Astyanax mexicanus: one gene and its partners. The protein of the gene in region 2 purifies or fractionates together with the protein of the main gene of each other region. This does not show direct contact. Links are inferred from orthologs where the notes say so. Each region holds a gene or a part of one and is shown on either strand. Other genes may lie near its edges.

What was found.
Region 1: the proteins of csnk2a2b (region 2) and hirip3 purify together in Homo sapiens (affinity purification with mass spectrometry; 6 studies listed by BioGRID and IntAct, counting the BioPlex papers as one, with this or other methods). This does not show direct contact. The link is inferred for Astyanax mexicanus from reciprocal best matches to the Homo sapiens genes CSNK2A2 and HIRIP3.
Region 3: the proteins of csnk2a2b (region 2) and probable ATP-dependent RNA helicase DDX41 purify together in Homo sapiens (affinity purification with mass spectrometry; 3 studies listed by BioGRID and IntAct, counting the BioPlex papers as one, with this or other methods). This does not show direct contact. The link is inferred for Astyanax mexicanus from reciprocal best matches to the Homo sapiens genes CSNK2A2 and DDX41.
Region 4: the proteins of csnk2a2b (region 2) and pes purify together in Homo sapiens (affinity purification with mass spectrometry; 3 studies listed by BioGRID and IntAct, with this or other methods). This does not show direct contact. The link is inferred for Astyanax mexicanus from reciprocal best matches to the Homo sapiens genes CSNK2A2 and PES1.

The regions. Positions count from the first base shown.
Region 1 is NC_064426.1:34,700,765-34,708,194, forward strand, and holds the start of hirip3 (HIRA-interacting protein 3), read left to right. Parts: upstream 1-4,426; 5' UTR 4,427-4,510; coding exon 4,511-4,578; intron 4,579-4,796; coding exon 4,797-4,923; intron 4,924-5,322; coding exon 5,323-5,470; intron 5,471-6,713; coding exon 6,714-7,430. Other genes in the region: kctd13 (BTB/POZ domain-containing adapter for CUL3-mediated RhoA degradation protein 1), read left to right, coding at 741-992. UniProt on the Homo sapiens protein: Histone chaperone that carries a H2A-H2B histone complex and facilitates its deposition onto chromatin.
Region 2 is NC_064417.1:7,239,041-7,246,136, reverse strand, and holds the start of csnk2a2b (casein kinase II subunit alpha'), read right to left. Parts: upstream 3,022-7,096; 5' UTR 2,292-3,021; coding exon 2,188-2,291; intron 1-2,187. Other genes in the region: ccdc113 (coiled-coil domain-containing protein 113), read left to right, coding at 4,600-4,691, 5,583-5,691, 5,833-5,985.
Region 3 is NC_064426.1:3,134,143-3,141,312, forward strand, and holds the start of probable ATP-dependent RNA helicase DDX41, read right to left. Parts: upstream 3,011-7,170; 5' UTR 2,860-3,010; coding exon 2,833-2,859; intron 2,048-2,832; coding exon 1,955-2,047; intron 1,770-1,954; coding exon 1,616-1,769; intron 1,526-1,615; coding exon 1,451-1,525; intron 840-1,450; coding exon 779-839; intron 337-778; coding exon 200-336; intron 1-199. UniProt on the Homo sapiens protein: Multifunctional protein that participates in many aspects of cellular RNA metabolism. Plays pivotal roles in innate immune sensing and hematopoietic homeostasis.
Region 4 is NC_064429.1:31,266,375-31,273,569, forward strand, and holds the start of pes (pescadillo), read right to left. Parts: upstream 3,010-7,195; 5' UTR 2,833-3,009; coding exon 2,809-2,832; intron 733-2,808; coding exon 653-732; intron 1-652. Other genes in the region: p2rx2 (P2X purinoceptor 2), read left to right, coding at 4,693-4,832. UniProt on the Homo sapiens protein: Component of the PeBoW complex, which is required for maturation of 28S and 5.8S ribosomal RNAs and formation of the 60S ribosome.

The DNA of each region.
Region 1 (7,430 bases), on a different chromosome or scaffold from region 2:
TCTACTTGACAAGTTTTTAGGCTATAATGTTAACTTCAAAAAGTGTGTGCTTCTCTTTAAACAAAACAGACAAATTTAACTCTAGTTCAGAAAACCAGTATGTATTGATATACATTTATACAGATATAGTTGGCATTTGGGGTTTGCCATATCGTATCGTACACTATAATATCGGCAACATTTTTGAATATTGTGAACAATATTATACCCTGAAATATCGTGCCATAACACTCACTCCTAATTATCACATCAGGATACTACTTTTTCGGCTGTTTTAAGCAAAAGAAAAAATTACACTGTTCTCATTTCCTATTGAATATCTACTAGAGACAGATTATATCTGTTCAGTATCACTTATTTTACTTTAATCCAGGATATATGGAGATATTTGGAGTGCATTATTATAAGTAGTATCATGACATTCTGAATCATTGACTTCTGTTACAAATATGCTAGAATTCTTGTTTTTTTTAATATCTTAGTTAGAGGTGTGCAATATCATATTGCACACCTCTAACTGTGCAATATGATATCGTATACAATAATAAAATTTAAGTTTTGTTTTGTTGCAGTAGTGTATTTTTTTATTTCTTGTCATATCACCAAGAGTATCGTTATCGCGATAATACCATGAAATATCGTGATATTATTTTAGGGCCATATCACCCACCCCTAGTTGGCATACAGATATTTTTTACTAAACATTACCCAACCTGACACACCTTTTACTCCTCTCCCAGGTTGAGTTTCCAGAAGCTCGCATCTTTGAGGAAACCCTGAACATCTTAATTTATGAGAATGGACGAGCCTCTGGTCACGGAGGAATGGCTCTGCTGGAGTCCGGCGGCGTCTCGTCTCCAGGTGTGGGCCAGTCTGAGGAGGACGGGGCTGGCGTAGGGGGTGGAGACAGAAGGGTGAGGCGGATCCATGTGCGGAGACACATTATGCACGATGAGAGGGGACACGGACAGCAGACTGTGTACAAGGACTGAGAGAGAAGATAAGTAGAATGAGGAGATGTGGAGATGTAGAATGAAGGAATAGGATACAGGTACTATAACTGGAAATTACGTCCACGGTCATTTTGAGGTTGAAACAAAAAAGATGGATGAATGGAGAGAAAAGCATGGCATGAATGGAGGAGGGAGTAAAATTTGGTACGCTAACACTGCACTGAAGGTGGGGTGGGGGTTTATATGGACTTGCTTCAAAATGATCCCAAATGAGCCACAGTGTGGTTTCGCTTTATTTGTCTTATTATTATTATTGTTATAATTATTTTTGAGGATGAAGGTACATGTCATTCAGTTTTTTTAGTTGTTTTTGTTTTTTATTTATTATTTCATTAATTTATTGTCCAGATTTTTCACATTTTTCACTTTGTAAAGGTACATGTGAAATAAGTTATTGCTTTATGTGTGTGTGGAAGGAAGAGTATGGGGTGTATTGTGCACCTAATAGTGAAATGCGTTGTTGTTGTATGCAGAAAGTGGTACTTAGAAGTGACCCATACTTGACTGATGTATGATGTGTGTTCTTACTGGACTGTGTGCCATCCTCAACCTACTCTTTTGTAAATTGTTTTGTTTTTTTTGTTTTTTTTTTTTACTAAATTTTTAAAATGTGAGAGATCATCAGATCATTGTAAGATGACAGACTGTTGACAGTCATACTTATCCGGCCATATTGCAATTAATATTGCAGTATTAAGTCTTAGGTTAGCTGTAGGTGAACATCTAACGTCTCAAAGACGTGCTGGGGCTTCACTTGTCTATGGCTATGTTCAGACTATAAGCTCAAATGTGAGAGATTGTATCTAGATGGATTTTTAATAGGTCTGGACAGCCAGAAACATTTTTCTGCTAAATATACACATTAAGAGGTGGTTTAAAATGAAATAACTATTGGATTTGTACAGATGCATTTCAGTCTGTACTCTCTGAATGCTCAAATCGGATTTCAAGATATTATTTGCATCACGCACCATATGACAAACAATGACCTCATAAAATCCAGAGGGAGAAAAGTGTGGGGGTCAAAAAAAAATCCCTAAATATTACCTATTGACGTTGACCTCAATACCACACCATCCCATGCAGATATGTTTGTGATGTCCAGACATACAAATCCATTCTGATCACCTGCAAATAACAGCGTGGACAGTGATCTCAACAGATCTGATTTGAGAAAAAATACAATTTACCTGCAGTCTGAACATAGCCATTGAGTGATATCTCTTTATGGACATGTTCTTAAAGTGGTGAATTCTACCACTGTGCTGTCTTAATAGTGGTCCAGTCAGCCAGCTTTGCAATACACACATTCTAACAGCTGGTTGATTTCACTTAGAAACGTAGAAACTTACATTGTAGATGTTTATTTCCTTTTCTTGCATGCTTTAAACCAACCAACCAAACAACTACAAAAAACAACAAGCCTATGAGCCACTCCCCAAGCTTGCCCATAATCTATGTGAATAATAAAAACACCTAATTACATATTTAGTAACATATTTAGCAACTTATTACATCAATTATTCATTTAAGTACCAAAGCTGTTGGAAGCTAACTGTGTTACACTGATGTGACTATAGCATAGGTTCTAATGTGCTGTTCAAGCAGGGACCCATTAAACCAAGAAAACACCAAGGACAAATGCACAAATGTTTCATATGTATCCAAAACAAAGGCTTACATTGTCTTCTGTCACAACAAGTGAGTGACTAAAAGCTTTGCTCTGTTGTGTATGTGATAATAATGAGGACGCGGTTTTTGTTTAAGCCAAAAGAAGCAAGAACCTGCTTTGGAGTCATTGTAGATAAACAACAGTTTATTTAAGAGTATCTCATTGACTGTCAATGATTATATAAAGGTAAAAGCCAACTGCTCACCTGCTGAACATGCCACAGTGCTGTAAAAAAGAATTGTACTAGACCCATGTCCAATTGAGCAAATGTTTTAACTGACTAAGAACATAGCCACTGCTCACACTTAAAAACACTCACTCCACTCACCTGAACCTAAAAATCAGACATAAATCTTAACAACAGTATTGTCAGAGATTTTACACCACTTTCTAAGTGTTTGGCACCTTAACATCTTTCTGGTATTATTATGCCGTCCATAAATATTAATTGTTGTTTTATCCACAGGTTCACTAATAAAAAATCTTTTTTTTTACACATCGCTGTTTTTGGACTTTATTTAAATTTGTAGTTCTACTATTGATTTGCAAATAAATCAGTGGAGATATATATAACGTACTGCAAGCAAACTAATATGTTAGGAAAGTTTACTATCCTTAGGAAATAGTAAGTAATTGTTCATTATCATATTGAATCATCTAAAGAATATTTTATTAATTAGACTATTACTATTATTTCGCTTCTTTGTGGAATCTTGTTGTGAGCTCCCCCTACAGACTGAAAGCGGGCTCAGAGGGTATAACTGCACCAATCATGAAAATGTTTGGCCATAACTGGACAATTACCAAGTGTTGTAATTTGCACCTGGGCATTTTATGGCCCAGGGGCCACATCCGGCCCTTTGCCTTTCCATACCTGGCCCTTTTGTTCACTCACTACATACAATTAGACTACAAACCAAAGCTAGCTATAGTACTTTGAATTAACTAAGCTTAATGCTGGTTACTATTGCATAGGCAGTTAAAACTTTTTTATTATCAACTGTTTATCCTAATGTTAATGAAATAATTATATAATATTGGTGTATTTTAAACTATATGTGCTTCACATTTTATTTTTCTAAAACTTATTGCCAAAAGTAATGGAATTTATGTATTTATTTATGTAGTTTATTTTTTTATTTTTTGCCAATATGTTTTAATAATTAAATAACGCTCAATTTGATTTAATTTCTGATGTTAAATCTAGAATATAAAACTAAACATGCAGAAAAAAATTCCTGTGGAAAGTTTCCTGTGGATGATGTCACACAGACTAAGTAGATGTACATAAATTCAAATTAACTTCAGCCTTTTCTTATGTAAATTATATTTTACAGTATTAATTGTAAAAAAAAATCTTCCTATTCTGTAACAAACAGTCTATGGTTCTGAGCGTTATTTTTTTAAACTTAAGTTATTTTATATTAGTATAGTATATTTTCTTATGGTAACTAAACCGTTCAGAGCGTTTTTAATTTTTTTATATTATTTATTTTTCTCTTTATATTATTATTTATATTTTTAAATTTAAATTAAATTAAAACATTATTTTTATCAGTTAAATATAACTCAGTATCTCTTTAAACACATTACAGTATATTTCTTATGTAAACGGAATGATTTATTTTGTGTAGTTATTTCTGTTATTTATTTTAGTATTTTATTATTTTTTTATATCAGTTTTATACCAAAATGTATTAATTCTCTCTCTCTGGTAACGGCTTCGTGCGTGATGACGCAACAGTGCGTGTCCGCGCGCGCCAAACCCGGCCGTGGCGCAGTGTGTGTTTGTGTATGTTGGAGGAGGAGCTGCAGAGTTTAAAACATGGTTTCTGAAGAGACAGTGATCCGCCGGTTCGTCTCCAAACAGCTGCAGCGCTGTCCGGACCTCAGGTAAGCGACACTGGGTGAGCTTTAGCGGAGTGGAGGAGGTTTAGAAGAGTTTTAAGGCGGTTTGGGTGGGTCTAGAGACGCGGGCTGACTAACACATACATGTAATAATGAGCTAAGCTAAGCTAGGCTAGCTGTGTTGCTGATGTTTAAAAATGAAAAGGCGCGAGAGTCTCACTGTGTATCTCTGTGTTTATTAACGCTGTAAACTGTCTGTGCAGCACGTTAACACTAGGAATACTACGGAAGCGCTATCTGGAGCATGTGGGCAGAGAGTGCCTGAGTGTGGAGCACAAAACCCTGCTGAAAAAAGTGGTAGAGGAGGAGCTGTTGAGGATGCAGGTCGAGGTGAGTGGTGTATTTAGTATTTTCAAAGGCTCTGTATGCTTAAAAATTGCTTAAAAAGAGAGAAAACAGGTTTTACCACAGCTGGCCATGCAGCATCATGAGGAAATAATTTAGGCAAAAACGTACATTTTGCCCAAAAATATTTAGACGACCATTAAATTATTTTAGGATGTTGACAATATATAAATAATGCCACAAGAGGGGGTGAAAGTGCTTCCATTCTGCCCTAGTTAAAGGCCTTGGAGTCTCAGGAGTCTTGAAGCTTCTTTTTTATTATTATTTATTTATTTATTTTGTTTGTGTGTGTGTTATTACGATAACTTGTAATCTGTTTATATTCTGTATGATGCACTAGTTAATGTTTAAATGTCTGTCTTTTTTTGTTTTTCTTTTTTTCAGGACAGTGACGATGAACCTTTAATAAGAAAGTCAGACCCTTCACAGAACAAACGAAAGAGAGAGGATGATGACGAGGAAGCAGAGGCAGAAGAAAACTGTGATGTCAGGGCCCAGAAAAAGAAGTCTCGTTTTGAGTCAGTACTTCCAGGTATAAGGCAGTTTGTTTGCTTTCATAAATTTAAAAATTGCAAATATAGTCTGTATGTCCAAATTCATCCAGACAACCATTCTTATTAGTTGCTGACATTTAGAGGTCAAATATATACAGTGATTTACCACCGCTTTGTGTCAATACTTGCTGCCCATATGCAAGCAAGAGCATACAGAGGAGCACTTTTGGTTTACAAGTACGCACTGTAGTTCTGTAGTTTGTCTGCATACTTTATTATTCTTTTTCGACCTTTTTCTTCAATGGTCATGACCCCAGAGGACCACACCATGGAACAGCTATTATTTGGGTGGTGGGTTATTCTCAGCACTGCAGTGACACTAACTTGGTGTTAGTGTGCGTTGTGGTAGTATGAGTGAATCGGACATAGCAGTGCTGCTGGAGCTTTTGTCACCACTCACCGTATTTTACCAACTGCTCTATCTTGTAGATGTAAAGTCTGAGACAGAGGCTCGTCTGTTGCTGTACAGTTTGTTTTGCTCATTCTCTGGTCCTTCATCAGTGCTCACAGGATGCTGTTGGCTGTGGGTATTTCAGGTTGTTGGATTATTCTCAGTTCAGCAGTGATGCTAAGATGTTTAAAAACATCAGTAGCTCTGCTGTTTTTGATCTTCTTCTACCAGCACAACACACACTATCACCATGTCAAGTACTGAGCGTCACTGCATTGCTGAGATTGACCCAGCACCCAAATAATAGCTGCTCTGTGATTGTCCTGTGGAGTCCTGACCATTTGAAGAACAGGGTGGAGGATTAAAAAAAGCATGTAGAGAAACATAGGTCTTTAATGGGATTACAAAGAGATCCTGTATGCTCAGTTGAGATGAAACAATGGGGGGCTTTATTGAAAAGGCATGGAACCTGTTTACTGCAGCACACAACAGCAGAAATAAAATAAAATAAAAAAATGTTGTTTAATTTTCTTATCCAGTTTAGACTAAGAGCTTCTAATATAGGTTTAATACAGACCACAGAATGGCATAGAAGAATGACTGTAGAAGTAAATAGCGTGGGATTTAATTTTTCAGAAGATTAGAGCCTGCTATTGCAGTAAAAAAATGCACCACCATTTATTCACTTAATTTGAAACAATGTATTGAATGCAGGTGTCTATAAACTTTTGGACATGTAGCATGCTATACTTGTTTTCATTAGTCAAAGTGTCATAACAAATGTTTTATATATGCAAAACATACATTACTGCTTGTCTGTTGTCTATCAGAATCCCCGGATTCTGGAATAGAGAAGGCTGCTAATGAGGACCAGTTAAAAGAAGATGAAGATGATGACGAAGAGGAAGAACAAAAACAAGAAGAAGAAAAAGATGATGAAAGTGACGAGGACATGAATGTAGAGAGTGGGGAAGAAGAGCAAAAGGAAAATGTGAAGAGTAAGAAGAAAATAGAGAAAAAACAGCCAGAAGTGAAGGTAAAGAAGAAGGGAAAAGCAAGTCCAAGAAAACAAAAGAAGGATAAGGGAACTAAAGCAAGAAAGAAAAAGAAGGTACCAGAGAGTGAGGAAGACGAGCAAGACCCATCCTCATCTTCTGAGTTATCAGAGGAAGAAAAACCACAGCAAGCAAAGTCTAAAGGTCAAAGAGAAAAGAAGACGGTGAGCTCAGACAGCGAGGAAACAAAGATGAAACGGATAAAAAAGAAAGGACAGAAAAAGGATGAGACAGAGCAAGATAAAAGCAAAGTAACCCCTCCAAAAAGTGAAAGAAAAGAGCCGAATAATGAAGAGCTCAAGTCACCGGAGAGTGAGGCTGTGAGAAGAGTGCAGAAGGAAGTGTTTGGAAGTAGCTCTGAGAGTGAGGAAGATGATGATGAGGAGGAGAAGAACACGAAGAAGAAACAGCCTGAAAAGAATGAAAATGGTGACAGTGAGATTAAAAGTGATGATGAGAGTGATGAAGAAATGGACAAAAAGAAAATCACTG
Region 2 (7,096 bases):
GTTAGATTAGTAGGTTCTGGGGTTTGATAACAGATGGATGGTGCTGTGCTGGTTAGATTAGTAGGTTCTGGGGTTTGATAACAGGTGGATGGTGCTATGCTGGTTAGATTAGAAGGTTCTGGGGTTTGATAAATGGATGGTGCTGTGCTGGTTAGATTAGTAGGTTCTGGGGTTTGATAACAGATGGATGGTGTTGTGCTGGTTAGATTAGTAGGTTCTGGGGTTTGATAACAGATGGATGGTGCTGTTCTGGTTAGATTAGTAGGTTGCAAATGTTACATTTGTTACCAAACAAATGTTTTACCAGTTTTACCAGTCTCTCTGCAAATTATAAATATGTGTATCCACTTTGGCAGATATATAGCCTACATGTTTAATATTGGATATTGGTATTGGACCAGAATTCCCAGAATCAGTGCAACCCTACTCTAATATAAACATTTGAGAACAAATCAGCTGACAGGCGTTCACAGTTCTTTCTCCCGTCACTGTGGCCTACTATTATAAACATCACTTCCAAAAATTCATTTAGCCTAAAAATCTCTGCCCCATATGAAAAACAGCTTAACTGTTGGGTATTCAATAATGTTTTTAGCAAAAGAAAATTTCACAGAAAATTCTCAATTCCCTTGACATATCTATTAGAATTAGTATCATGACATTCTGGATCATTGACTTCTGTTACAAATCTGATCAAATTCTTATTTTTAATATCCAAGTTAGGGGTGTGCCATATCATATCGTATGCAATAATAAAATTACATTTTCATTTTGATGCAGTAGATCATTCCTGAAATTTTTTTTTTTTTAATTCAGTGTTTTATCATAACGCCAAGAGTATCGTTTTCGCGAAATTACCATATTTTATGGCCATATCGCCCCCCCATTAAACAGATAATTAAACAGACAGACAATTTTTTAGACATATGAGATGGGCACCTAGACAGGTTGCAAAACAGATAAATGGATAAGTAGGCAGATATACTGACAGATATACAGACAGATAGACAAACAGTCAGATGGACAGGCAGACAGACATACAAACAGATAGAGCAAAACATAGATAACCTGTTAGACAAATAGAAAGCTATAGAGTGTTAAACACATAAACTGACTCTTAGACAGACCAGCATGACCAACACACACACACAAACACACACACTGTTTAACCAATTAAAGATGAATTATCTACCCATTTGTTCCTTAATCAGTCTATCTGTAAGTCAGTCTATCTTTTTTACCATCTACCTGTCTTGGTTTATCTGTCTACTGGTCCTCAAGTCAGTCAGAGCAATGACAGACTGTCAGCAAAAACAGGTGGCAAAAAGAGAAATACAGAGATAGATTGATATGTTGGTAGATATACTGACTGATGGACATATGGACAAACAGTCATAGATGGACAGGTAGACAGACAGACCTACGAACAGATAGAGTAAAACTTAGATAATATGATGGACAAATAGACAGCTATACAGACTGCAAGACACATAGACTTATAGACAGGCAGATAGATAGATGGAAAAACAGATAGATAGATAGACATACAGAGAGATAGATATACTGGCAGATAGATAGACAGACCTACAGATAGGCAGATAGAAATATAAATAAACAGATGGATAGACCTATGTATAGACAGACAGACAGACAGAAATATTAATAAATAGATGGATAGACCTATATATAGACAGGCCTATAATTAGACAGGCCTACAGATAGACATACATAGATAGCTAGACAGACAGACAGACAGACAGATCTACACGTAGACAGATCAATAGAGATTGATAGATAAATCTACACATAGATAGATTGATAGATAGACTGACAAAAAGATATAGATAGAGATAGATAGATAGATAGATAGATAGATAGATAGATATAGATTTAAAAACAGCAGAGAAATATACCTACTGACAGACAGACAGATTTAAAAACACAGACATAAATATACAGACTATCTACATATACTGTCTATCTAAATATAAGTAGATAGACAGACAGATACAAAAACAGATAGACAGATACATATACTTATAGATAGATAGATAATTCCCTTTAATTGGCTAAACAGTGTTGTCGTGCAGCAGCAGGTTTTGGGGGTGGAACACAGAGGCATGAATAAGTAAAATACTACAGATTTTACGCGGGAATGTGTTTTTAGGGTTAAGGCTGGTCTCTCACCTCCAGCTGGGCACGTGAGCCTCATAATCCCAGTACTCCCGGCTCTTCAGCGTGTTCACATCGGCGTACACTCGGGCTTTACTGCCGGCCACCGGGCCGGGCATGGCGGGGCTCCGGGAGAGGAGCTAACGGTACAGCGGACAGGGCTAAAGCCGCGGAGCCGAGCGAGAGAGGCGGGCAGGAGTTGGTACAGATGGAGAAACGGGGCTTCTTAACGACGAATCAGCAAAAGTTAATAATTATAATAAAAAAAAACAACTCAATTTAAATAAAACAAACCACCAGCGTGTGTAAACCCAAACCCAGGAGGCAGGCGGGGGGGTTTACTGGTCAGAATATTTCAGGATTATACCCCCCCCCACCCCCAGCCAGCTTCAAATCCCAGATCCGAACTGCGGAGGTCCAGCGAGAAATCCCCCAGCAGCACCGAAATCAGAGTAACTGTGCCGGAGTGGTGAAGTTGGCGTGCAGCAGCAGCAGCGTTAAGCCCTTCGCTTCGGTCCAGCCGGCTGGAGAGAGATAGATAGATAGAGAGAGAGTGAGAGAGAGAGAGAAATAGAAAGAGAAATAGAAAGAAAGAGAGAGAGAGAGAGAGAGGGAGAGGAGGAGTGCAGACCGTTGCTGCTAGCTGGCCTGCTTTCTATCTCCACCACAGTACGGGGGGCTGGGGGTCGTGCAAACCCGTTGCAGTCCCATGCAGGAGCTCCAGCGCTCGGTAGTAGGGCTTTATTTGTGGAGAAAGTCTCCCTGCGCGACTCCTGCTCCGCTCCGCAGGGACACAGATCGCAGTACGGTAACCTGGAAGAAGACTAGCGTCTGTGTACTAGGAAATAGTCTCTAACGCCCCTACTGCGCATGTCTGCAAACTGCTGCCACCCATCTTAGTATTTCTAGGGCGCGTTCCATTCTGTAGCGTGCGCCCTACTCACTACAACTCACTACTACACTTCTCACTAACTTTTTGAATCCATCTTCAGCTCTGGAAAAAATGAGACCACTTAAAATAATGAGTTTCTTTGATTTAACCAAATTGAAAACCTCTGGAATATAATGATAAGATGAAGACAGATGATCACAAGACATTAAACTAAGCTAAACTGCTTGATTTTTTTGCACCAGTAGTGGCATATAGTTATCCAAAAGCAGTGTGTAAGACTGATGGAGGAGAACATGCCAAGATGCATGAAAGCTGTGATTAAAAAACAGGGTTATTTCACCAAATATTGATTTCTGAACTTTTAAAACCTTATGAATATGAAACTGTTTTCTTCGCATTATTTGAGCTCTGAAAGCAATTTTTAATTTTCTGCAAATAAATGCTCTAAATGACAATAAAACTTGAAAAAATTAATTAGTTGATTATTTTAGGAAAGTGTCGATATAATGAGGACTACGAAATAAGCTGTATTGTGGTTTTGCTCTCAATGATTTAAAGTGTTTTAATAACTCTTGTGCAGTGTATTTTTAAATCATTAAATACAATAATTCAATCAATCAATTAATGTATCCTTCCATCCATTCATAAGGGAACAGTGTTTGTTCATTTGAAAGAATAGTATGTATTTTAGTGCTGTGCAGTATGCATTTTTTAATTATTAAATCCATCCATCCATAAATTCTTAATGTTAAGTTTGGAGAAGTTACCTTTGTTAAATCAAGGGAAGGATTTAGGTTTTTTTGCTTTGTCCATAACATACTACACCAAATTCTACTGTTACATTTTATTTTACTTACCATCTAAGGCATGGTGTTTTCTGCTACTTACACAATCCCTTAAACTTTTTATGTTATTTTTAAAAATCTAAATCTCTCAAGACAAGCCTCCAAAAAATAAGGGTAAGGATTTGGTCTAACATTCTACCTGAAGGTGGAGTAATCTTTTCAGCAACCAAATTAGCCATTATGCCAGTAATAGATAAAATGTTATAAATGTTATAAATAATGTTATAACATGTTTAGATTTAAATACCTTTTTTGTTTTCATTTACTTATTTAAGACGTGTTTTTCGTTTCTTACCTCAGAAAACATTATGCAGCCAGACCTCATTTTAAGCAGTGTTTTTTTTTTCTCTGAAATAAAATAAAATTCATGTTATACAGGCTTAATAATATGGATTATTAATTGATTACTTTGTCATTAACATCTGTTATTCGTTGTTATTTATTTGTTTTTGTAGTAAAGATAGTTGTTTATTAGTTTAAAATGAATGACTCTTAACAACAGTAGAGGTGGCTAACCCAGGTCCTGAAATTAAAAACCCATCCCAGGGTTTGAGATGCAGCAGAGCCGCCCAGGTTGTTGGTACAAAACCTTGGGATGGAGTTTTACTTTCTGGACCTGGGTTAGCCACCTCTAACAGTTTATAATGCTCATTCAGCCTTTAAGCTCCGCTGTCCTCCTTGGCGACAGCCATGTTTACCATAGCAACCATGAAGGACCCGGAGAAAGGCAGCTTTACTGAAGTAGATATGAAACTAACGCGTGAACAGCTGGAAGACTTGAGGTAAAACATAGAAAACGTTTATTAATAATGTAACTTAGCATGTTCAGAGAACAGTGGTTAATAGGAAATACGCTCCTGTTTAAAATAAACCTGTATTATTTTAGTGTGCAGTTAGCTCGCTAGCTAACTTGGCTAATTTAACCACATAGCATTACAGTGCTGCTACACTAAGCTAACTAGCTAACACTGTGTGAATACAATTTAATAATTATTTTTTAAATAAAAAAATAATATTACACATATAAATGAATCAATCAACCTTTATTTTGACTTAATTTTGATTTAAAATTAAAATAAGTTTTAAAATAACAGTAAATAAAAGATAAAAAAAAATGCCTCTTAAACAATCTTGTACGTCGGAGGATCTAGTGATGCTTTTAGTAGGAAAATGCACACAGAATATAACGTATAGGGTTCTACACATATTTATTTACCACAGAGTGTAATAAAGACAAGTTTTTGAAAAGCCCATTCAGAAATTTAGCTTAGAACGGAACCCCAAATATGGGCATACGAGAACTACAGAATGATGCAGGACTGCAGTGGTCTATTGGGGGAGTTCTAGTGAGTAAGAGAGTTATTTGGCTTAGATATAATTGGGGTTTCATTATTATTCGTTTTTTTACATCTCTTATATATCTTTCTAATTATTTAAAACCTGTATTTGCAGCACAAAAAAACATAATGGCCAAAACAAAGTGGGTGTCAGATATGGTAATAAAATTATAGAAACAACTTTTAACTCCAATGGTTTGATCCTGACTTTCTTAAGCCTGGAAGTTAGCAGATTAAAGATCTGCTAGAGCAGAAGATGGTCCACCATGTTCTGTTGTTTATGTATCTTCACTTTCAGCTAATAACCTGCAATTGATGTGAATTTCTATCATGCAGGCGTTTCAATGCAGCCTTACAGGCTGAGAATGAGATGTTTGAGCACCAAGCCCTGGTTTCTCAGGCTGTGCCAGAACATTTGGGTTCTGTTGCATCAATGGCACATGGGGTGAGTGAATATGTTTCATGTCTTCCATCACTTGACTGTTGGCAATGATATTTGGCATAGGGTTGATAATTTAAACACTATTTCCAAGCTTTCAAAAAGTTCTTTACAGTATCATGATCTTTACCATATATTATTTACCAGCATCCCGGGCGCAGGAGGCAATCTAAAGTTCTGAGGCCATCTCAGAAGGAATCATCACAGCTGCTGGGGCTGGAGCAGAAGGTTTTCATTGCTCAGAGGGAGATGGAGGAGCTGAGGAATGACCTGGAGAAGCTAAGACAAAGTTCAGACAAGGTTATATTACTTTTTAATTAAACTGACTAAAGATTTCTTCACATTTTTTCTCCTAAGAGAGACAGATGTATAACAAAGTAGAACTACTTTACTATTGTACTTAGGTATTTTACTGAACTATACATTTTTTCTCCTACTTCCACTTTTATTTCACTACGTATTTTCCATGAGTTTAGTACTTTTTATTTAGATAATTGTTTTACGTGTTGCATCAGTACTTGTAACCAGAGGTGTTGCCAATCTTTTTAGGGGCTTGGGAACCTGCAAATGACAATCTACGTTCTTTCAGCTGAGCAAGCACACAACATTAAACAGCGTTCTTTATTTATATGTTCTGTCCCACTCCTGAAACATCCTGTGTGTGTCTCTGTGCTTGTGTGTGTGTGTGTGTATGGGCTTACGTGTGCTTGTGGCCAACCAGTCAGCCAGTCAGTCATGAATATTGGGTTAGTTTTTTACCAAAATAAAGGTCCATATTCAGGTTCTTGTGAAAGAATAAGGTAAAAAATGTAAAAATAAATGGTAAATAAAGTTCAAATAAATAATTTTCTGGTTCAGTGTGAGCAGATGCCCGGTAAAATCCATACTGAGTTTTGAGTAGGTTTCCACTTTTAGCTATTTAAATTAGACAAGATAACGAAGCTTCAGGAAGTATTTTGATAGAATTTTTTTTAATTGTTATTAGTATAAGAAGTTTGCAACAATCAAACCTACAGTAGATTAAGTAAAAGCATGCACCTGTATTGCTGCATCTGCAAAGAGCCACTAAACCCTAAACTATATATTTTTTTATTAATATCTGAATGTGTTCCTTTAAAGTAACAAAACATACCAATCCTGCTTAAAATGTTTGCAAACATTTCCTAACCATTAATAAAATGCTTTTATTGTGGTACTTTCCACCTCTACAGCACCCTCACAGGTTCAACTGTTTTCAACTATAGTTGAGGATGTTGTGTCCGTGTACTTTTGTATGTAAACACAATACAAGGTGCAAATCAGTTAATCAACTGATGTCCAACCATCTGGGTCTCACCGCTATAAAAGGCACACTGCTGCTGCTGCAGCTCAGCCAATCAGCTCTTCGTCCTGCCCTGCCTCTAAACCCATA
Region 3 (7,170 bases), on a different chromosome or scaffold from region 2:
GTGCTACACTATGTGCAATATCTCAAATCACAATGCACAACATAATCTACAGCAACACTCGTAATTCTAATTTTCTAGAAAAATATATTTTTTTCTATATAGATTATATTGTATATTTCCTGATGTTTGTGTTCTGTCCTCTGCGCTGCTGAAACATTACAAATATTATATTATATTATAAACCAAACTCATGCATTACCTTGAGGGAACTTCATTTCTCTGAAGCTCTTTATAGGGGCAGGAATGCCGTCTCCCTCCACCAGGATGTGGTACTTCTTCCGCACTCGCTCATGCCTCGCTTTCGGCATGCTTAATATGTAGCGAGGAGCTTTCCAGCTAAAGATACAGAGAAACCATTACTTTCAGCATGTGTTCTTTATATAGCATTGACATTTTTTTTAACTATACTGTGAGATGGTAAATAAGAATCAGGGGAAGAAGAAGAAGATAAGCATGGTTGGAGAGGATGTGGGCGGAGTCTTTATGTCTTATTATTTAAAGCTCAGACATTATTTCGGGTCCATATTGTTCACAGGAAGATCAAATGTCCTAAATATTTAAATCTGTTCTAAATCACATGGGATTCATGGGGTGTTCTAATTATCTCACAGTACTGTGGCTGATTTACTGCATTTACTTAAAGTGTAAATAAATGTCCATCTAAAAATATACTTAGCTCAAAGTAAAAGCATATATATTAGTGTTTATTACACTAGTGTTAGAGTTTTAACACCCTCTGGTGTAAGGATGCATGAAATACAGCACGAGACTGACTTACCTTGTTTTAATTGGGTCTTCATATGTGATACCTTTGGCCATTTCCTTTACAGACATTAAAGCTGGAGGAATAAATGACAGACAGACGCGTTACAACACTGAGTTCTATGCATATTTATGTATGTAGATAAAACATTGAGACAAATTTAGTTTTCTTTTTTTTTTATGCATTTTTATTTACAAACTAGGCCTGTCTTGATAATTACATTCTTGACCTATATATTAAACTAAAGACTTTATTTGCAAAAACGGACAAAGAAATGTGTAAAGAATAGCACTTACTTGGTTTTGCAAATTAACAGTTACATTATTTACTTTAAAAGAGTTGTACTTTCATTATTATGTTATAAAAATTGTCTAAAATTACAATGTTGTTTTTCCACAGTAACTTTTTTAACAATATATGATTCAAATAATAGTCATTGTGACAGGCTTGCAATTATAAAAATGATGTAGTAACAGTAAAATGTTATATTATATTATAGATATAATACAGTATCTAATCATATACAAAAACTGACTCATTGGTTTAGAATAAGAGAAAATGTTTCTGATTCCATTTAATTATAATATTAACTGTTTCTGTTGCTTTAATGTTAAAGTAAGATGAAACACTGTGTATCTTATAATGTTAATGTTATTTTATAAAGTTAATCAACAGGTATATACTCACCTCTGCCTTCAGCCACGCTCTCCAAAATCTTCTCCTCCTCCTTCAGCTGTTTCTCCTTCGCCGACTCCTTACGAGCTACAAAAATAAAATCAGCAGATTTTAGATTAGATATCTAACTAACAGAAATACATTAAATAAAATAAAAACAGAAACTGCAGAACATACCTTCAGCTTTCTCCTTAAGGTGCTGGTGCTGATCCAGCAGGCTGACGTTGGATCGCGGCCCGAGACCCTCGTCCTCATCTTTCTGTTCTCCTCCGCTGTCCTTCTGCTCCTCCTCAGTCAATCCCTTCCCTCGCAGACGCATCATCTTCTGCATCTGAACCCAAAAACACACCACAGATTAACAGCAGAAATAAATCTTGAAATGTTTTACATTGACTGATCTTCATTTTTTTGAGTATTTTTTTTCTTTACTTATATATAGTTATATAGTAGTAGTTATCACCATAATATGGATTAAAACATTACTCACGTAACTGTAAGATAAAAACTAGAATTTACCATCTGCTGTTTTCTGATCTTAACAGGAACATATGGAACATAATCGTCGTCTTCTGAAGGCTCGGATGCGGACCTCTCTCCGGAGTAACTCCGCTGAAACATTAAATATGAATAATGAGATATTTGTAATTTACTACATGTCCAAAAGTAAGTATCAGTAAATTTTACATGTCATTTGAAAATTAAGGGATCAGAGTCTGGAGGAAGAGTGGATAGAAACACAGTCCAATCTGCTCGAGGTCTAGTGTGAAGTTTCCACCAATCAGTGATGGTTTGGAGAGACATGTCTGTCATCTGCTGGTGTTGATCCACTGTGTTTTATTATCAAGTCTAAAGTCAGTGCAGTTTTGTTTTCCCGCAAAATGTACAGCACGTCATGCTTCCCTCTGCTACTGACAACTTTTATGGAGATGTGGATTTCATTTTCCAGCAGGAAATTGGTCTTAGTAAGCCATATTTATCAACAATAAAAGAAATAACCGTCTAAAATAGATCACTTTGTGTGTAATACATCTATAATATATAAATAAGAGTTTCACATTTTGAACTGAATTACTGTAGTATAGAGTTAACTAGTAAAGCTACCTAAGTTAGCAAGTTAGAAAACAGTATAAACTAAAGTACTGAACATGTACCTTGTATACCCACATTAACCTATGTTACCTATTATTTAACTGAATTCATTTCTGGCTTAGAGACCTGAAACTTTGATTAATTTAATCAAGTTTAGGTGTTATCTCGCTAAAGTGGACTGTATCACAGTTAGTTAGCTAATTAGCTTAGCTGTTTGCTAGTGTGTATATAAACTAGCCTATTAGCACTAAAGCTAACCGCTGTTGCCCCCGCTGATAAACGGTTAAAGCCCGGCTGTAGCTCACCTTCCCCGGCCGGCTCTCCGCCTCCATGCTGCGGGCGGATGGTGGCTGTAGTGCGGGGCTGTGTTAAAAGAGGTTATTCAGGTTAAACTGAGTTAAAAAGGAGAATCTCCAGCTGCTAATGTTTACAACACCAGCGAAACAGCAGAAGCAGCAGCGCTCACCAACACACTACGCATGCGCTACGGCGCGCGACACGAGCCAAACCGCGAGACGAGAACGAACAACACGTGATCAAAAATCTAGCTTTTAACAGTCAGGCCAGCAGGGGGCGCTGCCGAGAGAGAGGCTGAAATTAGGCAAAATCAAGCAAAATCATATAAATAATGTATATAAATGTTTAATAATTTTATACAATCCGTGTGTCATGCATTCTTTTGAATTTCAACTGAAAATCCAAAATCGGAATATGAAAATATATTTTTATTTTTGGTTTTACTTAAACCACTCTTTAAAAAATCACTAAAAGAGTTCACTTCAAGAATAAGAAGTCATAATATTACAACATTAAAATAATAACATTAAGAAAAAATGAAGTCATAATATATATTGAGGGAAATGTAGTTCTAACTGTTGAGCTGCACGGAATGAGTAAAAGGAGCATTTTCTGCTCATGATCTGTTACAGGGCTGCTGTGATTATCCTCAGTTATCTATATTTATAACCTACTGATTTTTAATGCTCTAATGTTACAGTTCGATAACACAATGGTCAGATTTTGCTAGCTATATAGGCTATATTGTTACTGTCAGTAGGTTAAAATGACAATAATATACGTTTTTTTTTTATTATTTAAAAATATTTTAAGATTTAATATATAATCTTAATAAATTGTATTGTCATCACAGTACATTAGTTTACTATTTGGATACCTCAGCGTTTATAATATGCTTTGTATTGTTGCTAATTTTTTTTGTCGGTTTTTAGTTATTACATAATTTGGGCACAAACTGTCCCTTACACTCTCTCAATTTGGTTATGAGTGGATCAACAGAAATGATCCAAAATTACCTTAAATTAATTTTAGCAATTTTTACATTGACTTCCATTGAAAATTAAGAAGCTTCTGTTCTGGAGATGCATTTTTTCATTGGACAACAAAGATATATATTATTTTTGGCATCAATACAAGATGTGTGTTGGTTTAAAATAAAGTATTTAGAATTGTGCAGTCTCATTTTCTAAAATGAATTACTATGCTTAAATTACTGACATAAATCCAATATGCATGTATTTTGCAAATTGTTTGCAATTATCGAGGCGATTTTTCCCACATGTGGGGTTATTTTTTATTTTTATTTTTTTTTTAACCTAAGAACCTGATTAAACTTACCTTTATAAAGACCCTCCTGCACCTGCCGAGATTAAACACTGAGCACAGAGAAGCTAGAAAGCAAACATGACACTTTTCTTTTTTTTGTCAAAACTGTAATGTTTTAATCTTTCTGAACGAAAGATTTTCACAGTATCAAAAGTGAATAATAATAATAATAATTAAAAAGAAAAAAAAACAAAAAACAAAAAAAACAAGCAGAAAAAAAAACAGAAAGCCAACATACACTTGGCCATTAATGGTATAGTATAAATCTACATTCCAAACGTTTAAGATAATGTCTCCTAGTTGAATATAACCTGGATAGCATCAGAGATGTAGAATATGAAACAAAAAGCTCGAACAGATTTTTAAAAACCCATCTTAGTTTTTCATCTCAATACTTCAAAACAAGAAAACAAGTGGAAAAAAAATGGTACATCATTTCTCATCATATTCCCATTCGTCCCACTTCCCAACAGAACGCTTCAGGGTTATATTTCGGATTTGGACAGGGATCGGGGGGGTGTACGGGAGAGTACGTGCAGAGCGATGTCTGGGTCGGGGTTGGGGTCGGAAGGTCGTGGGCGCTGTAGTTGTACCATCGGGGGCGAAGCACAGCAGACTCCTCACATGTGAACAAAAAGAAAAAGGGGGAAATTGAACAAAAAGAAGAACGGTATTCCATACCAAACTGCAGAGACAAACATCAGGAAAGAGAAAGAGCGGAAAAATAAAGGGAGAAACAGAGAACATCCCATCCGAACTTGGAATTTGGAGCGAGCGCAAATGTCTATCCAAACTACACAAGCAGCACTACGGAGCGCAGCTGCAGACCAGCATTCCCGGCCTGCCGAAAAAACGGAAAACTACTGCCAGCTACGGAGCAACAGAGCCGGAAAATACGGAACTACATCCACAGGAATACGGAGGAGCAGGATTCTGAAGAGCACAAAGAGACAAGACTTCACCTGAAGTCGGGGAGAGTCAGAAAACTCTTCTAATTCTAACTGTCAGTACTGACCTGTACGGAAAAAAAATACGGAAAAGACAGAAAAAAAAAATACGTCAAAATTGGGAGCAAATCGGAATTGTGTCAGTTTCGAGCATGCAGGAATAATCTCGTCATTCTGTCCTCTATCAGAGGACGTCATGTAAATACATGTTCAAGTGTCAGAAAGTCGACTTAATACAGTTTTAAAAACCATAGCATACATTAGTGTTCAATTCTTCGCTGTTTGCATTTGGAAAATTAATAAAACGGAACCATTTCCGCTAACGTCGCAGATAAAAAATAAAATATTCCGTAGGTAAGCATTACCACAGTGTGACGTTCAGCAACTAACTCACACCTGGACCCATATTTATCCTACTTATCGTGATCTCAGAGACGTCAGATAAAATCAGAGCTCAGAACAGTTCACTCTACTCTGCGGCAAGAAGGATATAAAAAAAATAAATTGATGGAATTCATAAGAATTCAAGAATTGTAAAATGTGTCAGTGAATGTGTTTAAATGCACCTCATAATCTGTGGTCAGTAATCTGATTAACACGCTCACATGAACTTGGGTAATCAGATAAAGGGAAAACTCCAGATTTTATATAAATTAGGCAATAATCATATTTTTGTTTTGTAACCAGCTAATAAACTCATTTAATTAAAACATGATAAAACCTGAACTTTATGCTGCAGCTTTTTTAACACATCGAGCTGCAATATGATCATACATCAACTAGAAGATTATATAACTCCTTCAGTATTAGTGTCACTTCTAAATTATTGCGGGTGCTGTGCTGATAACTGCTGCTTGATTATTTCCGCTACCACTGTCTGTTTTCACTTATGCACAGACTGAGACTTCCCAGAACCTGATTATAAATAACTGCAGTACTCAGATTATAACTTTAGTGATCAGATTATAACTGCAGTACTATATTTTTAGCACTATGAAGCGCACTTAAAATTCTTTAATTTTTCCAAAAATAGCTGACAAAAGCTTACTGTAAATAAACTGAAGCACTTTACTCACCCAAATAAACAGTTTTTAAGAGAGAAATCTGCAGATTAACATCCAGCGCTCGTTTGACTTTAAAAGAGAGTCTTTTTATTACAGTTTTGTTTACTTAGCTTAGCTTTACTTAATTTACTTTACCACCACCACTAAGCGGCGAGACCTACTGAATTAGAAGTTCTTTTAAAATACATGAAAATAGACATTCATTATTCATTCATGAGCCATATATTACGAAAAAGACGGTAATCAGATTATGAACAGATTTTTGAGTGCATATAAATGCATTCAGTATGAACAGTATGAACTGTATCGTTCTATTCTGCATAATCTGGATCTGAACTGGCCTGTAAAACAGCTTGTCGGAAAAAAGTACCTTTTGGAAAAACGTAACCGTACAAAACAGACAAAAAAAAAAAAAAAAAAGGTAAAGTAGAATTAAAAGGAAACACAGAATGGGGCCGGGAGGTCAAAGCGTGCCGTCGTTCTGATTTAAAAGACTTTTATTGTAAAATAACTGTTTACATACTACAAGTGAAGTCAAGAACTGGAGTAGTGGGAGCAGTGTTCACCAAAACACAATTTTGGCTGCTTACTCCAAAGCAACACAGAGAGAACGAGAGAGAGAGAGAGAGAGAGAGAGAGACAGAGAGAGAGATAGACAGAGAGAAAGAGAGAGAGACAGAGGGGAAGCAGGCTGACCTGCGATCAATCCAGCTCTACCCACACGTACGAAAAATAAAGAAAAAAAGAAAAAAAAAAAAAACGGAAGAAAGAAAAGCTCTGATGGATGAACATGTAGACCGAGGTCCCGTGGCTTTAGTGATAAAACAGGGCATAGACAGAGAGTGACGTCCAGCCAAATCAAGTGTTGAGCAGAGCAAACTGGCCATCGGCCAATCAGGTGTCGACTACAGTGACCAACCACAGGCCAATCAGGTGTTCAATACAGTGAGTCAAACGTGTGTTGAGCAGTCTTCAGAGTCTCGAGTCTCAGGGAAGGTGGGTTCTGGTT
Region 4 (7,195 bases), on a different chromosome or scaffold from region 2:
TGTGTTCCTGTATAGCTTTAATATAGCTTTTAATATTACATTTAAAAATGCAAAAAAAATGCAAAAAGAAAAAATAAGAATAAGAAGAGATGTCGACAAACTGGTACAAATATATACATATATGAATCACATTCAAAACAGTTAATAATGTCTTATAATACTTTGTTTGTGCAATAGTGTTATTAGTATATCTGAGGTTCTAAAAAATATTTGTTCAATTTTATGTTTTTATTTTATGTTTAAAAACATGAAAGAAAACAGTAGACTATAACAATCAGTGGTATTTTATCCTTTATCTTTTATAGTCACACAGGGATACTGTTTTTAACATATCAACAAAGGAATATGCCTGTGAGTAAACATATAAAAATTACATTTAATCAAAAAAAATGAGGAAATGAGGAAGCACATTGTTATTAGTTCATCAAAGTTCTACCTACAGGTTATTTAATCACTTTGAACCAATCAGAACAATGAAGAAGGCAATATATATATATATATATATATATATATATATATATATATATATATATATATATATATATATATATATATATATATATATATATCAGTGTTTAATAAAATCACATTAAAACATAATCAGCTGGATTAAATCAGTTGGTACTAGGTATTATGCTTGTCCAGTACTCACCTGAAATCAGCCAGGCTCAGGCAGAGCTTCTTGCGAGCTTTATTTCTGCTGATGTAGTTGGTGGCTGACCCACTTTCATACTGCAAACAGAGAGAAACAGGTTATAAACCCTTAATATTCATCCACTGGACAGAAAGACTGACAGGATAAATCAACATTATGAGAGCATAAAGTCACAACCCAATACTTAACAGTTCTAGCAAAAGCTTCACATGCAAACGTACAGCTGCCATACTATTTTACTGCATGATACCAACGGTGTTTAAATGTGCAATTTAATTACAGTCCTACAAATGTAATGTTCAAATTGAAAGAGCTGAAAATTAAATAGCTTAGAACTTGAGGAAGTACTAGCAGATATAAAGCAGGACAGAGGTTTAAAATGTACTGACATCATCAAACCTATAATGCATTATATTAATATCAATACTGTATTTCCAGATGTGCACAATGTTTAGATAATATTAAGATATTCTGAACTTTCTGATGCTGAATGCATCAATAGAAATGTTCTAAAATTACTTCTTTTTTTCCAAGAAATTCTAGTACAATATAAAGAGCAACTGTCAATTCACATTGTCAAAAAACTAAGAAATATTGCATTTGATTTTTAGTTTTTTCATCTGTAACTAACAAAAAGTAAATCATTACAGCAATAGCACAACATGTAGAAAACATCTAGAGAATTAAAAAAAGCACTGCTATGAAAATGAGACATATATAAATATCATTTAGAAATCTGCATGTTTTCAGGAGTTTAACCCATATTCAAAAATATGGTGAATCACATTCGCATTTCATTTTTTTATCTCTAATGCACTAAAATAAAATTGCTCTGCGACTTCACAAATTTTATTCAGTGAGAGTTATAGAGTCAGAGAAAGGAAGAGTAAGAGTCAGAGAGAGTTAGAGAGATGTACAATGAGTCAGTGAGAGAGAGGAAGAGAGACTGACAACCAGAGAAAGAGTCAGAAAGAGAGAGAGATTAAGAGAGAAGTAGAAAACTAGAGAGAGAGTAATAGAGTCGGAGACACAGAGACAGCCAGAAAGAGACAGACAGTCAGAGAGAATAAGACAGTAAGAGAGGTACACAGAGCGAGAGAGGTAGAGAGAGGGGTAGAGAGTCAGAGAAAAAGAGATGTAGAGAGAGAAGTACAGAGTCAGTAAAAGAGAGGAAAAGAGTGAGAAAGAAACAGTCAGAAAGAGTTATAGAGTCAGAGAAAGTCAGAAACAGAAAGAGAGACTTTAAGAGAGAGGCAGAGAGAGCAATACAGACAGACGGAAGAAAGAGGTGGTCAGAGAGAGAGAGAGAGTCAATGAGAGGTAGAGAGTCAGTGAAATAGGTGGAGAGAAAGAGTCATAACGAGAGGTAGAGAGAGAGAGTCAAAGAGACAGGTAGAGAGCTAGAGGGAGAAATAGTATCTGATTTCAACTCTGTTCATATTCTGTGGAAAGGCGTTCCACTAAGTCATGCATAATCTTTCAGTAACTGCTGTTATAGTGTATGACCCACATGTTACAGTATATTACATATTTTTGCACCTTATTCTCACCAAGCACTTTTACTGTACCGTATCGGTAATAAAGTGTTATGTCTGCTAAATGTTTCATGTCTGCTGTATTTATTGTGGTGTTTTAGCTCTATGTTGTACTTTGTTGTTTAGATTGTATTGTTGTTCTATGTTGCACCATGTCTCCAGAGGAACGAGGGTTAATTTAATTGCACTGTGTACATGTACTTAGATGGAATGACGATAAAAGCACCTTAACTTAACTTAGCACCATAACATATTCTTGAAGTAAAGTCTTAAAGTGATCTATAAACCCGTTAAAAATAAATTGTAGTATGCAATTTGTTGTGTTCAGTTTCTGTTAAGGTAGGTCAGGTATTTTTGTGAGCACAGCTCGTGCTCACCATGCAGTCACAGGTAACGTTAGCTGCTGTTATTAGCCTGAAAGCTAACTGTGTTGTTCTGGATATAATTCAATAACAATTTAAGCAGTGTTGATATAGATAAATCTATACAGCAGTCAGTAATCATAGTTCAGCAGCATTAAACAGTTATACAGACTGTCAGTGAGTTTATTAGTTAGTGTTTCAGTAGCTGTTAGTGATCAGGGGAGTTTAAAGGCCCGGGCTGCTGATTTCTCCTCACCTTCTTCTTCTGTAATCCTCCCATGGCGGACTGGAGGTGAGCTGCAGCGCGTTACGGCTGGATATTGGTGTTAAACCGCTGTAATTCCCTGATATTCTGGGTTATTCTGCGTTATTGTTGTTATTCTGGGTTCAGCGCTGCTGCTACAGATCCTGCGCTCCGCTCCACACGTGCGCGGCTGCGTGGCGTCACTCAGCGGAGACCACAGGACCCCGGCATCTGACTGAGCGCCCGAACACGCGCCTGATCAAAAATCACATTTATTTACATTCCGACTCCTATCCTTTTTTTCTCTTTTCGTTTTTTCTTGTACTTTTTCTTTTGTTTTCTCGCCTTCTTTCTTTTGTTTTCCCTATACATTTTCTTTTTCTTGCTTCATTTTCATCATCTATTTTTCATCTTTGTATTAATCTTTTTCTTTCTTTCACTCTTTTTGTCATATTGTTATGTAACTTTTATGTAATCCTGATTTTTGGATTTTGGAAAACAACAACAAAAAAAAAAACAGAAATATGGTACAAAATTTTAACAAAGTATTTTAACATAAATCTATACATTGTTTTAAAAAGAGGGGGTGATATTTAGCAAGTAATTAATTGTTGAACAGCTTACAGCTAGTAAGTAGCAATCAAAATAAACTGAGCTTTGGAAATAAATAAAAAAAAAGTCAAACACTTTCATCATAATAATTTGAAAAAGAAACTGGAAGAAACTGGTACAGGAAGACGTCTGGCTGACCCACATGGAAACAGCTTTAGCCTTTAGCTCAGCTTAACATTAGATTAAGTCTCCGTTTTAGCAGTTTAAAGAGGAATTAGAAGTCTGACGGGTGAAAAACGGCAGTAATTCAATGACAGGGGTGGGCCCTCTGTTTACCTGTACTGTACCTGTGTTTATTTTTGGGCGCTGATATTCTAAAGCCCTGTAGTGCTGCCTGTCTAATTTCTTAGTTGGCCAGGTCAAAGTTTGTCAGTCTTTTAGAGCACTGTCTGGGGGTTAGAACACAGACAGTGGTAGAGTCTTCTATAAGAGTTTATTTTCGTTTTCTTTTAAATAATATGCTTGTGTGTGTGTTGTGTTGACCATGGCACAGTTGTTTCCTGTGTATGAAATTAATACCCAACACGGATGTGCAGAAAAACCACATAATAAGATAAGATGTTTCCAGAGAGTTGGAGAAAGACAGAGAAAGAGAGAGAGAGACCTAGAGAGAGAGAGTCATAGAGAGAAGTATGGAGGGAGATAGAGAGACAGAGGTAGGGCAAAGAGAGGTAGAGAGAGATTGAGTCAGAGAGAGAGGTAGAAAGAGAAAGAGTCAGAAAGAGAGAGTTAGGGCGAATGAGAGAGAGTAAGAAATTGATAAAAGAGGGAGATAGTCAGAGGCAGAGGTGAGGCGAAAGAGATATAGAGCGAGAGAGAGACAGACAGAGGTAGAGCGAATGAGAGGTAGAGAGAGAGTCATAGAGAGAGGTAGAGAGTGAAAGAGTCAGGAAAAGAGAGAGAAAAAGAGAAGGTGGGAGTCAGAGATACAGTGGTAGAGTAAGTGAAAGGTAGAGAGAGAGGGAGAGAGAAAGTCAGAAAGAGGGAAAGATAGGGAAAAAAGAGTCAGAGGGGGAGAGTTCAAGAGAAAAGTATAGAGTGTGAGAGGTAGAGAGAGTGAAAGAGAGAGTCAGAGAGGTAGAGTGAGAAAAGAAAGAATGAGAGAATCAGAGAGACAGAGGTAGAGAGAGAGGGAGAAAGATAGTCAGAGAGAGAAGTGGAGTGAGTGAGAGGTAGAGAGAGACAGAAGTACAGAGAGAGAGGAAGAGTGAGAGAGAGAGCAGTAAAGTGTGCTGGAAGATAACAGAGACCAGTATCTGCTGGGGTCCCGTGTCTGTGGTCAGTATGGGACTGAAGGAGTTCTTCAGGGAGTTCTTCCTGGGTTTCTGGGACTATGAGACTCCAAAGATCATGGTAGTGAAGAACAGGACTCTGGGAGTCATTTACAGAATTGTACAGTTTCTGGTCATCACATATTTCATATGGTGAGTATCTGCATGCCTGCAAAAATTAATAGTTTACAAGCTCTTGTTATCTATTATAATTTCTAACTTTAATTTATGTGTAGCTGTATTATGCTGTATTAAGGTTATTAATGGCAAAGAGATTGAGATATGAAAATGGAAATATCTTGATACTATGAACTGTATACAATTCTTTTTTTTTTTAATTCTGAAGCAATGAATAAAGCAATTGTAATTGCTTTATTGGAATTCTATTAATAATTTATGACTACTATTGACAAACAATTATGAAAGCATTTGGACCCAACAATACAAACTACCAGCTATAAACCTCTAAAATCTATAAAATATCTATAATAAGTTCCTAAAGAAATTGTATAGAGATTGCATTAAAAATACTAGACATCTTTTTTTTTTAAATTGCTTTATTTCTATTATTTATTTGAAACCTATTAACACATAAATGATGAAAGTATTGTGGCACAGAATGGTAGAAACTACCAACTTAAGGCTGATGAATTATCTATTATGATCTGTAACACTTTTTTTAATACTTATTAATTTAAAGTATTTTGTAAGATTGGCTCTAGTCCTACTTTAAATATATTCTGTTGGTAAATTCACATTACAAAATAACGACGAGTAGCAGAGCATGGCTTAGTTGAAGTATATTTATGTTGGAATCACAGCCCTGTTTTGTTGCTTGTGGCTCTCTATTGGGAGGAAGTGATAATTGGAGTGAATGTTTTGTTGTTTCCTGGTCAGATGTTTGTCTCGTCGACTTTGAGTCATAATTTTTGAGCTAACAAAGCATCTAGTTGCTGGTGCTCATGGTTTACAGCAGATCAGTGAAACATGGTGGTATAGGCTGCTGCTGGTTGGTTGGTCAGTCAGCCTGCAGATAAACAGAATCTCTGGTCTTTGTTTGTGATGGAACTGTATCCCGCATTATTATTGATGACGCAGGTGACGTCACTGCTGACAGGAGGAGTTCTTCAGTGAACAATAACATCAAGATGCTACACCAAATAATATGCCTAAAGCAACTTTGGCATTTTAGAGCCTTTTAAAAAAGAGCTTTAAAAAAAAAATAATAATAAGATTTTACAACACCCCAGCTGGCATTTAAACTTTGAATAAACGTTAAATCAATATTGATCATCGCTGATGTTATGGTTGAATCAACATTGAATCAACGCTGATATAGCAACGTTGTTTCAACGTGTTCAACCAAAATTAGAAAATCCTACGCTTAACAGAGAGTTAACAATAAACTTACATCACTGCAGTTAATCTGAGTATAAAGAAAGTTACAAAAAAATACAAAAAACAGTAAAACAAATAGAACATGAACATGATGTTAAATTAAAAAGGAGTTACTACATATAGAAGTAAAACACTTTTTCATTCCTCCAACCAACCGTTTTTAGAAATTATATGGTGATAAAATATAAAATGCTGATTCCAAGGGCAGAATGTTGTGGACATTATGTTGATTCAACGTTAAAATTTCAATGTTTGCACAAACATTTAACATTAAATGTTGATTCAACATTGTTTCAGCATTGAAACAACAACAGACTTTACTTTAGTCATTTTAACGTTGAAGTTCGGTTGTGCGCCAGCTGGGACAGGACAAAACAAAATTACAAAATAAAATCTCAGGATATGACATGACTGAGTAGTAACAAGGATAAGAAAGAGACAAGTCTAAATAATTACATGCACATGAGAAAATGTCCAAACTGTCCATAGTAGATTGAGCAGACATGAGATATATTAGTTGGGGATAAACTCAATAGTAAGTTTATGCCATGATTTAAAAGATGGAACAGCATCACTGATCCAAAAGTGTAGGATGTTCTTATTGGCAGCAAAGGTTAACAGATTAAAGAGTCTCTTATGGTTAATATTTACAGCTTTTTGTTTTTGATTGGCCAAATAAATTTAAATCCTATGTATCATATTTATATGAATTATACCCAGCTTATGATGGCGACTATGAACCTTAGACTTTAGAAAATCCACTGACTGCAAATAGAGTAAATAATAAAGATTTAGATAGGCCATGAAGGTAATTTGCTTATTGTCCAATTAATATTATGTTTTCTATGAAAAGGGGATGAATCTTATCCAATATATAATTATGGTCATAATGTCAAAATTACATCTTAATAAGTTGTTTTTTTTCATAATGTGAATTTGACAGTTGTTCTTGACTTTGTTTGAATGCATCTTGATGAGTGGACCAATAAAAATGCTCCAAAATGACTTTTAAACTTAGACTTTAACTATACGTTCTACTATAAAGCCACTTTAGAATTTCTTTTTCTCTAGAAAAATCTTTATTAATTTAGTTTTTAACATGCCCAATGGCAGGAAAA